2 linked regions of the Drosophila melanogaster genome follow. The gene in region 2 interacts genetically with the main gene of each other region. Each region holds a gene or a part of one and is shown on either strand. Other genes may lie near its edges.

Region 1 (5,221 bases), on a different chromosome or scaffold from region 2:
ACACTGATAGTGGTTCTTAATCGGAAGGGGTCAACGAAAAGTTGAGGGAGAACCATAAAATGTTAGCAAAGGTAATAGAAGATTGATTAGAAGTAAGTTGCGAGTCCGTTTCCGCTGGCAATCTGTCTATAATGTATACATATGTAGGTACTTATATATGACTAATTTCCTGATTTTCGATGAAAGCTTTCGAAAGAAAAAAACAAAACAAAAACAAACCAAAGAAAATCTGCGAAATACTTTCGGACTAAGGAGAAAGCTTTGTTGTTAAAAAAACTCAATGGCATTCGTCTATTTCATTCAATTAGAATGATATGTATTTTATAAAGTATAAGCATTGCCTATTTTCGTTCCAATTAAACCTCCATCAGAGCTAAGAGTAGGTCTTATATTCTTCAAGTTGTGTGTATATATTTTGTGATGTATTTTCAATTGATTCAGCACAGTGCATATGTAAACATCTGGATTTGACTTGGATTACTATAATCTTAAGCATAGGGGGAAAATGAGCCAGCTATTCCCCCAACTTCAAGTACTGCGCACTTGATAAAGGCTAAACAAAGATTGTCGCTTCCCGCTTTATATAAACAGAATTATTCTACAAAGGAGGAGCCCTCACTTGAGCTGTACTTTGGATAGCGAAATCAAAGTCGAGTTTACTGAATCCACAATACACATCTCCAATAACCGCAACGCATATGTTTGGCGTTCAGTGGGCAATTTAACGCCTTGGCGAGGCGACAAAGCACATTTGGCAAAAACGATTATTAAGAATAATAAACGATTTCAATGGCAAGAAATAGATTTGGTATAAAAACAAGTTGTTCTGGCCCAGGAAATGAAATTATTGAAAGAATATCAGTTTGCACGAGGTCTAGGGTCTTACATTTGTGAACTACGTAAATGCTAGGCCAATCAAAACTTTCAGTGAACAGTTTAATTAAAGCAAAGAGGCAAAGGGTTCTCAAACGTTATTATTTTGGGATGGATGTTAGCTGCCATTATGAAGTATCAGTGAGAAACAGTGATTTCAGCTGTTTCGTATTCATTTCACAAGTGAGCCAAACACTCAACACCTCAGTTTGTATTGGCCAATTAGCGGGCGAAGCTCGGATTTCTAGCCCGAATTTGGATAGAGCTAGAAGCTTTCTCGATTGATTCAGCGAAGAGAACCGATTTCAGCTGAAAACCAAGAAAACATGTGTATATTATTCTAGTGGAAAGGCACCCACACATTGCAATGCAGACAGACGAACAAGAATTAAGCATAATCATCAGCAAAAGCGAAATGCACTTGCAACAATACGGAGAAAGCAAAGAAAAATGTTGGATAATGCAAACCCAAAGCGAAAAGATAGAGAACAGAGAATGTCGTAATCATAAGGGGAAAACTAACATCCCGACTCATGGGTTGCTCTCTAACCACCGCCACATTGGACAAGAAATCCCAGGAGGTTTCATCCCAGCCACTCCCTGCCACTCCTCCACCCAGCATTATCAATAAAGCTGAGTAATCATGGCGACGACAAAGCCCGGCTCCATAAAGGAACCTAAACAGACATTGTGACATGTACGGCATGGTATGATATGATATGATACCGAGGGTGGGGAGAGTGCACCTCTGAGTGCCATTTCAGTTTTTAATTTTGCAATGGCTTGTGGGACTTTTCGCTGTGCATTGCATTTCGAAGCTCGTGTCCTAAGCAGGCGTCATTGTTCATTAAATCACGTATGATAATAAAAATCAAGTTCCATTGCCAGTGTCAGAAATATAAGGTTAAGCTTAAAATCGCTTGGTTAAGGAAACTGTGTGAAAAATAAAAATGCTTTGTATGGGAAATATGATCGCAGTTTATTCCATACTTATTTAATGAATTCTATAAAAAATAAGAACGGTTTCTACATATATCTTAATTTGTGTGCACCCCCATATTCAGAAGTAATATGAAATATCGCTGAACTGATACCTTAATCAGTACTCATAAAGAATTAAACGCAAAAAAATTTTTTGCGACTTGATCTAAATTATAAACGGCTATTATTGTTATTTATTTTCGTGACGATGCATCGACTGTATTTTAATGTGTGCGTTAGTTAGGCAATTTCGATGTGTGTGAGTTTATGCTGGCTGGGTTTTCATTTGATCCGTTGGCGTTGTTGTTGTTGCGGCTGTGACAGCTGGAAGCTTCAGCAGCAATCTGGAAACTGGAAAGAATCCACAAGATGCGGGTTTCCAGGGAGCGAGGTGCTGGTCGCAGGGGGTCGATGAAAGAGAAGTTTGCCGATTTGCTGCCAATTCCCCGAATGACAGATATAAAGATACATGCATGAGATACAAAGAAGAAGAAGTCGACGAAAGCGCAAAACTAAAGCCAAAGAAAGGCCATTAAATTGTGCGAAAGAGAAACCAGAACAGGTTTAACTGTTCTTGGTGTGCGCCCGATAAAAGCGCTAATTGACACGCACACAAGTGCACTACTGCGGTCATAAACAAACCGCTCGTTGGGAAAGAAGAAAGGTGGAAGGGAAAGAGAGCTGACAAAGCTAACCAGGCGAAATTGCACATTTAACAGAAGAAAACTTATTTTTAACAACATAACAATGACTAAAATTAACGTTAAACTGCCACGATTGGGGTTAAAACTCACCTTGGCAAGAAGCACGGTGTAAACTGGTTTTCGGTTCTCACTCAAAACAAACCAAGAATGCACTCGCAATCGAATTCCACTCAATTTACACGTTTACGAAACTTTGGCCATTAAAACCTCGAGAGGATTTGTATTTTTAAATGCTTACAGCACCTTACCACATATATATATAGCTATATATATAAATTTGCTATTGTTTTTACTTTCTCACCATCCACAAAAACTTGTTTTCGTTGTCGCTACTCTCTATTTTGGCACTCTACTCGCAACTGAGCTGATTTAGCAATTAAAATGCAACCTCTTTAAATAAAAACAATTACTTTTCGTGCACTCCACTAACGACAACAATAAGGACAAACGGGCGCGACGCACAACAACGCAATTCTTTAATGCACTTAAGTATTTTCGTCGGTCAATTGGAGCTCGTTTGGTTTTCGCAAGCACCGCAATTACTATTTACTTTATTTTATATTTGCGTACGCACACCACCGCACGAAGCAGAAATTTATTTAACTTATTTAAAATTCAGCAAGAAACGGACAACCGACTTACTTAGCTGCACTCGCCAGTGTGACCGCTTTGCGAGTGTTGGATGAGCTAGTAGTGTGGCCCTAGCGCACTCCCCAGGAAATACTCACTGTGAACAGTCACTCTTTCCACTTATAACACTTTTCACTTGAAAATAAATTTGAATTCTATCTTAAAACTACATTGTTTATTTGCGGAGTAGATACGCCTGTACCACCTGGGATAAGCAGAATGAAAAACAGCTGGAGTAATTAAAACACTAGTCCCCGCTCATTTCAGATCTCCACCGTCATGGACACGATCAAACTGTGGCACAGTGGGCAAGTTCGGTGCCTGGAGATCTCGGTGGGAGCTGCGCAGTGGTGGCAGGTGGTACAGATCCATATGTTGTTCGTCGGCTGGGTGATGGGTTTCCCGGAGGAGATGCACGCCGGGAAGCGAGCATTGCACTCGGGGCAGGAGGGGGAGCTGAAAGGATCGGCATTCCATGAGTATCATCATTATAATCCAGCTTCTGACGTCGACCCTTCACTTACCTATCTGGCACGGGCACTCCGCAGGAATAGCAATCCACCCTATCGCCAGTGGTGTCCTCCGGATCGTACTTGGCGAAGATCCCAGCCGCCAACTCCTCGTACCGTTGAAGGGTAGCCTCGGGAAGATGAGCCTGTTGCTCCAACTTCATGAAAGCCTTGGAGCAGGTTCCGAAGGCCCGATCCGCACAGCTGGCCAGTGCCAACAGGCTGTAGATGTGCTCTGGAGGCAGGACGTCCTCGTAGTCGCGCAGCCTCACCGCAGTGACCACCGCACTGTGGACGATCCCGAAGCGAAGCTGCCTCTGGGCTAGGAGCATGAAGTGGTAGGCCTCGGCGCAGTGCCAAAGCCTCTCGATGGCGGCCGCATCCTCCAGGGCAATGGAGTCCAGTAGGGTGTTCCTGCCGCTGGCGTAGTCGATCTCCGTCGTGGCCACAGCCTTGAGGTGCTCCTCGGCCAGCAGAGCAGCCAGCACGTACAGCTTCTTGATTCTCAGCAGCGGAGCACGCTTCTCTTGCTCCCGTTCCGCCATTTGAGAAAGCAGGCGAGCTGCATCTAGATGACGCCCAGCATTCCGCTGCATCTCGATGGCTTCCTTGAGGCGTCCCTCCTGGAGCAACTGTGCCGCGTGCTTGGCTATGAGCGTTTGCACCTGGGGCAGCTGGAACCTCTGGGCCAGCTCAACAGCCTCGCCCCACTGCCGGAGATTAACGCAGGTGGCGACGGCGGCCTTCTGGTCGCCGAATCGAAGATGGGCTTGAACAGCCTCGGAGCACATGCCCACGGAGGCCAGCATCTCGGCCAGCTTCGGAAGCAGCGGGCTCTTCTCCGGTAGCCGTTCCACGCACTTTTCCAAGTCGTCGAACTGCTCCAAGTGGTACAGAGCCTCCATGTAACCCTCCAGGTAGTGGGACTTCTCGTAGTATTCCCTGGCACTCTCCCAGGAGCGCAGGTTGGCGAAGTGGTGGCCAATCTCCCGCCAAGCGATCTCCATCTGCTGGTCCGACACTCCCGATCCTCCCATTCTGTACAGCTGCACCACGCGAAACCAATCGCAAAGGGTCATGCGCAGCTCTATGGCCAGATCGCGACGATCCGCGTCCAGGTAGAGCTTCTCCGCCTCCTCGAACTCTCCGTAGAAGGCTGATATCTCCGCCCTCTGCAGCTCCTTGGAGTGTATGGTGCGCAGTCTCTTGACCAACTTAATGCCCGGGTAGTGGGCACAACGGACAAAGGCGTTCTCCGCCGTCTCCAGTTCCAGTTTCTTCAACGCAGACTCCGCCAGCAGTCGCCAGAGCCTCGGATGCGGGTTGTCCTCAATGAACTGCTTGGCATCCTCCAGTCCCACGTGCTCCAGTAGATCGTCGGTATCGCGCAGGGACTTTACCCTCAGCTGAATGATATGCGAAAAATTCTGCAGCTCACCCACGCTGATTATGTCGTCCAGCAGGACACTGGTGATCTCCAAGTCCTCGAAGGTGCATATGTAGCCGGAGCAGGACACGGGCTCC
Region 2 (5,499 bases):
TGGTTTGCTTAGGACCTCTCGTGTTTAGAAGCATTCTCGGCAGAGAACCAGTAGTAGCGCTGGCCTTTTTGTGGGCGTACTCTAGGTGCTCTCGGAACGTGGTATCAGGAGAAGCACTAACTAACTATTGATCTAAAGATACACATTATTTTAACGTTCCAGGAAGATAGGTCTTGCGTGATAATCCACACGAACGACATGAATGAAATCATATGATGCTGCAAAGTATATGTCATAGTTTTAATACTGCGTTGGTGATGCGTCGGTGATTAAGGATTCGACGTCAAATTAGTTTGGGCAGCTTGTAGAGTTGGTGCCTTAGAGGTAGGTTCTGTTAGCCTCGAATTATGGACGTTTGGAAATATCAAATTTTGGAAGGTGGTCGAAGGGCCAAATAAGGACCTCTTTGCGGGTGATAAAAAAACTTCTGGCGTTCTGGCGTTACTCGGAGATGTATCCGGCTTTTGGGGTCTTTGTATATTGAACAGCCTTTATATGGTCAGAAGCGCTTTCTTCCACCTGTTACATACTTTTCAACGAACCTATTGTAGTATTCCCTTTTACTCTACGAGTAACGGGTATAAAAAATATAAGGCCCAAAGGGTTTTCTGTAGCACCTACCGTTTAGTTACACAATTCATAAAAAAAACCAAATCGATTTTCAAATTCATAATTTTTTTGTATAAGAATCATACGAAAAAACGGTAAAAATTTTATTATGTCCTTCGTACCCGTTTATTTTTATTTTACTTAATAAGATTTTAATTTTCTGATTATGTTAACAATTGGTATGCACAACTTATTAATCATACAATTAGCTCAAAAATCAAAATTATCAAAAGAAATTCCTTCCATTCCTTCCTATTTAGCATATTTCTGTGGAGTTTTTGCTTAAATCACAATCATCGACAAATTCAACGTGCGTGAAGGGAAAATGACCATTTTTTCCATTTAATTCTCCCTCCCATTGCCCATTAATGTTTGTTTTAGTGACTTTAATAATGTCACCTATTTCCAATTTTAATGCAGTCTTATCGTATGCGTTAGGGACCCTTGACTGTTTTACGCGGGCGTATGCAGGTAGTTTTCGCTTCGATAAATTAAAATGTAAAACATTATTTTTTTTTTAAATACTTTTTTGGAACACTTACATTTAAATCTGTCCTTTTAAGAGTACTTTCAAATACATTGCTAGATCCCGAAATGGAAGGTTCGTTTTTATCAATAGCATCTTCATCCATATAATCGTCATACTGAAAAGAACAAATTTGAAAATGATTTAACTTTTAAAAATCAATGCCTTTAACAAACTTATTTATCAAAGGTCGTTCGCAATTTGGCCTTCTCTATTTAAGCGGACGAATATATTGAAGGCAATGGAGCTTGTCCATTGTCAGTTTAATTCAATGCAAATGGTTTTTGTAATGGATTTTATAATGTATTGAGATTGTAGTCAGACTTTAAAGAATCTAATCGCAACAATTTAAGGGTATTATTACATGAACTCAATAATTATTTCTGAACAAGTTTCTCGGCTATCAGATACCCGCTAGTCATAAAATAGGCGTGGGGAAAAGAGCTCAATTTACATTTTTTACATACATACATATATTTTTACATATTTACTTCTGGCGACTCTTTGACATTATTGACCCTTATACGTCTCACTAGTTTTCGGGTTTCTTTCTGATTTTACATTATTAATATCCTAGCGTTAGTGTCGCCGTATCGAAAGTTTTATTTGCATTCCATAAAAATTGACGCGACTGGTTTTACCGAATTCACCATTCATTTCAAGTGTAGTATTTTAACATCAGCGTTATAAGGAAACAAAGAAATTAAAAACGGGTTACCCGTTACAAAAAAGGATAACAAATCCAAATATTTGCTTAACGCACCTGTTGTATATAGGGAACCGGTATTTGACCAATTTTCCCCGAGGAGTTACGCGCAGTCCACCATTGATCCTCGTCTTTTCGAACTATTGTTAAAACTTCACCTCTTTGAAAAGGTAAATCATCTTGATCCTTTGATAAATAAGAAAATTAAATTACTTACAAAAATGAATAATTGTGTAAATGCTCACGCTGCCAACGAAATCGAACTTTCCTATTACTTTTTCCACCCTTCTACACGCAGGCCGTTTTAAAGGGGTTGTATCCAAATAATGAAGAGTGTAAAAAGTTAAGAGTTTCGGTAGATTGTCAAAAGACTGATCCCCAATGCGGTAAACGATTTGATCCTGTTGTTGAACTTTGTTAATGATGTAGTTGCTAACTTTTGTATCTTCTCTAAATAATAAAAATCTTTATAAGTAAACAATTCTTTTATAACAGGCGCAAAATCCTTAAAAACTAAACAAAAATTTGTTTCAAGTTTAAATATGAAAACCTATTTTTAATATTCTAATGTATATACATTTATATTAATAAAGAACTTTTAAAATCAAAAAGAATATTCTTGAGACGTTTATTCATCTAATTCTTTAATAAATGCCGCGTGGCGAGACATACAGTAGAAATTGAGTTCCTTTAATTCGTAATTATTTTTGTTTACGTCGTTAAATTCTTCAATTTATTTACCCCGTCAATACATGGCGCACATATTAAAAACATACTAAATTGCAATGGCTATGAGAGATCATCATTGACATTTTATCATCGTCCTTAAAGGTACATTCCATACTAAATTAAAGAAATACAAAATTGACCATAGACCCTTGCCATTGGATCTAAATATCAAACAAAACAAGAGAGAACCCGTTACTCAGCTAGTTGAATGGGAAAGAGAAATTTCAAAAATTTTCTGGGAAAGAAATAATAAAACAAACACAATTTTTAAGGTTTCCCAAAACTGAAACACACAAAATTGATAAAAATTTTTAGATTTCTCTTTCTTATTACTTTTTTCACCCAGGTCTATTAAAAAGAATATCCTTTTTTAATGTAAGAAATTTGTTTATATTTAAAAATTACAGATAAATGTTTAAAGTACATCTATAAAACACGTATACATGCTTAAAATGGAAACAGGAATTTCTATATAAACCTTTATGGTAAGCTGCGATTAAGAAAGGCTGACATTAAGTATTTCTCACTATACACAATTTTTAGTTTAATTTTTAAAATAAAAATTAGCTAACAGAAATGAAACGATAAGTACACAATCAAAGTCTGAATGTATTAATTTTGTTTACTTACCTTACACAAAGTACATAATCCCCTGCTATCGAGTTACTATCACGGACTAAAAACACTCCCCGCTCGCGTTCGTTCATCAAAACTTCAGTAGCATCCTGTCTAGACATGGGACCAAAGTACCAGCTTTAAGAACACATTTTGATGTTAAAACAATTGATAGTTTTTGGTTTAATCTTCACTTGATCTTAAATTACCTGTTCCTATCAGAAACGTCAAATGTATCCATTTCCGTTTAAGGTTTATCTTAGACAAATTACAACAAATTCCGTCCAGATTAAATAAATAGAAATTATGTGATATAATGCAAATATAGCATACAGCCTATTATATACCAGAATTCTTCAGTGATTTCATTTTCGAATTTCTGGCCTTAAAACATTTGCCTTTTATATGTGTATCTGGCTGGGCCACACATAGAAACACTATCGATAATGTTTGATCGATTATTTCCACTTGGAAGTTTTATGCCAATATTGTACCGTAGAACCGTAATGCGGCACTTGCACAGGGCACATTCGATTGAAAAGAACTCCTTCGAGCAACTGCTCTGTGGTGGTAAACCCCTTTAGGACGTACTGTCAGCTTTTAAAATCTAAATGTAAAACCGTGATCAATGCATATCAATTTGATATTCTAATTTTTAAGTAAAACCGATATATTTGTTCTTCTGTTCAATTCAAGGATATTTACAGGAATATTAGGAATACGAATATATCTGGTTGACATGTTATTTTGACTCCACAACTGATCAGCTGTCAATCGTAGAAAATCCGCATATGTTGCTAAGATCGGCAGCTAAATAAGATTTGGAGCAATCCGATCAATCCGCTGTGGAGGGAGCCCACCCTGGGATTGCTAAAGATTCCGAATTGTCTGCACTGGTTTCTTAACCAGTGATTCTACCTGTCCCGATTAGTTTACCACCACAAGGGAACATTGAGTCCGGACTCCCGGCACAAGTTGGCACTTCAGAAATACAATCTGCAGGGCCAAAACCACTCGCGGTGATTCCACTTAAGAAACAAACTTTCGTTTCTCGGTTTTCACCTGATCAAAAATCATCTGATGTATGGTCTTATATGCAAGACAAAACAAAAGTCGATAATATAAAAGTAATATAAAAGTGGAAAAATTTAACTTATCTTACGCTATGGACATAAGATATATAAGATTTTGAAGCTAGGATCAAAAATAGGAAAAAGGGGCCCGTGGGAAATAAACTTTCCTCACATGGCCAGACCACTGCACCATCCGCCTCTTCATCTTCTTCAAAAAACTGACAACGAATCTTTGTCCGAATCTTTTTCCTATCAAAATGCTAGAGGTTTGCGTAGCATACTAATCAAATTATATTGTAATAGCCATTCCTTTGCATGCTCAAGATATGACCAAAGCAAAGACACTAGAATAATTCTAGTGTCTATGATATGACTTTTGCAATAAACAGTTTACATATTTTTTTTATTTTTATATATTTTTGTTTTCTACTTCGTATTATTTTTATGAAATATTTATTTCTCAATGTAATGTCTTCTTTTTGGAAAATGTATGTTTTAAATTAAAGTTGTTATAATAATTTCCGTATATATTTAGTATATTTCTCAAGTCATTTGACTTAATATGATGTATGTAAAATTTTTGTTATTTAAAATGCACATTAGATTTAGTTGTTTTTCAGTTCCAGTTTTTTTTTTTTTTTTTTTTTTTGTTATATTTCAATTTGATATTTTTAACAGCGCGCAATTTCATCAAATATGTAAACTCGTTTCTTCGGTCAGAATTGATTTCGGCCCGAAATCGTCTTCTAGAACAACACGCACACATATACGCGTTCTCGTCTCTTGTTTTTACTTACTCAAGCAAGCAAGTTCTATTTTAAGATTTCTTACGCTCTCAGCGTAAGCTAGCGGACAGAGAGCAATTTTGGCCGTCACCAAAAAAGTGGCTGCATAGTGCCAAACCAAAGACACTAGAATAACAAGATGCGTAACGGCCATACATTGGTTTGGCACTATGCAGCCACTTTTTTGGTGACGGCCAAAATTACTCTCTTTCGGCTCACTCCCGCTGAGAGCGTAAGAAATCTAAAAATATAATTTGCTTGCTTGTGTGAGTAAAAACAAGAGACGAGAACGCGTATAAGTGTGCGTGTTGTGCTAGAAGACGATTTTCGGGCCGAAATCAATTCTGATCGAAGAAACGAATTTACATGGTACATATTAGGGTAGTTTTTGCCAATTTCCTAGCAATATGATAAAATAAAAAAATTTTTAAAAATTCGCGCCCTGAATATTATAAT

The links.
Region 1: of Crk (region 2) and drpr, changing one enhances a phenotype caused by changing the other (phenotypic enhancement), as found in Drosophila melanogaster (one study listed by BioGRID).

The regions. Positions count from the first base shown.
Region 1 is NT_037436.4:1,727,877-1,733,097, forward strand, and holds the start of drpr (draper), read right to left. Parts: upstream 3,232-5,221; 5' UTR 2,649-3,231; intron 1-2,648. Other genes in the region: Oseg4 (outer segment 4), read right to left, coding at 3,452-3,644, 3,713-5,221. UniProt on the Drosophila melanogaster protein: Receptor which is involved in the phagocytosis of a variety of cells including apoptotic cells, severed and pruned axons, degenerating dendrites, salivary gland cells, germline cells and bacteria.
Region 2 is NC_004353.4:208,382-213,880, reverse strand, and holds Crk (Crk oncogene), read right to left. Parts: upstream 3,658-5,499; 5' UTR 3,519-3,657; exon of another isoform or gene 3,444-3,518; 5' UTR 3,427-3,443; coding exon 3,395-3,426; intron 3,324-3,394; coding exon 3,201-3,323; intron 2,292-3,200; coding exon 2,087-2,291; intron 2,028-2,086; coding exon 1,899-2,027; intron 1,767-1,898; coding exon of another isoform or gene 1,701-1,766; exon of another isoform or gene 1,607-1,700; intron 1,254-1,606; coding exon 1,152-1,253; intron 1,091-1,151; coding exon 866-1,090; 3' UTR 716-865; downstream 1-715. UniProt on the Drosophila melanogaster protein: Adapter protein which interacts with C-terminal portion of mbc, homolog of human DOCK180. May play a role in cellular processes throughout development.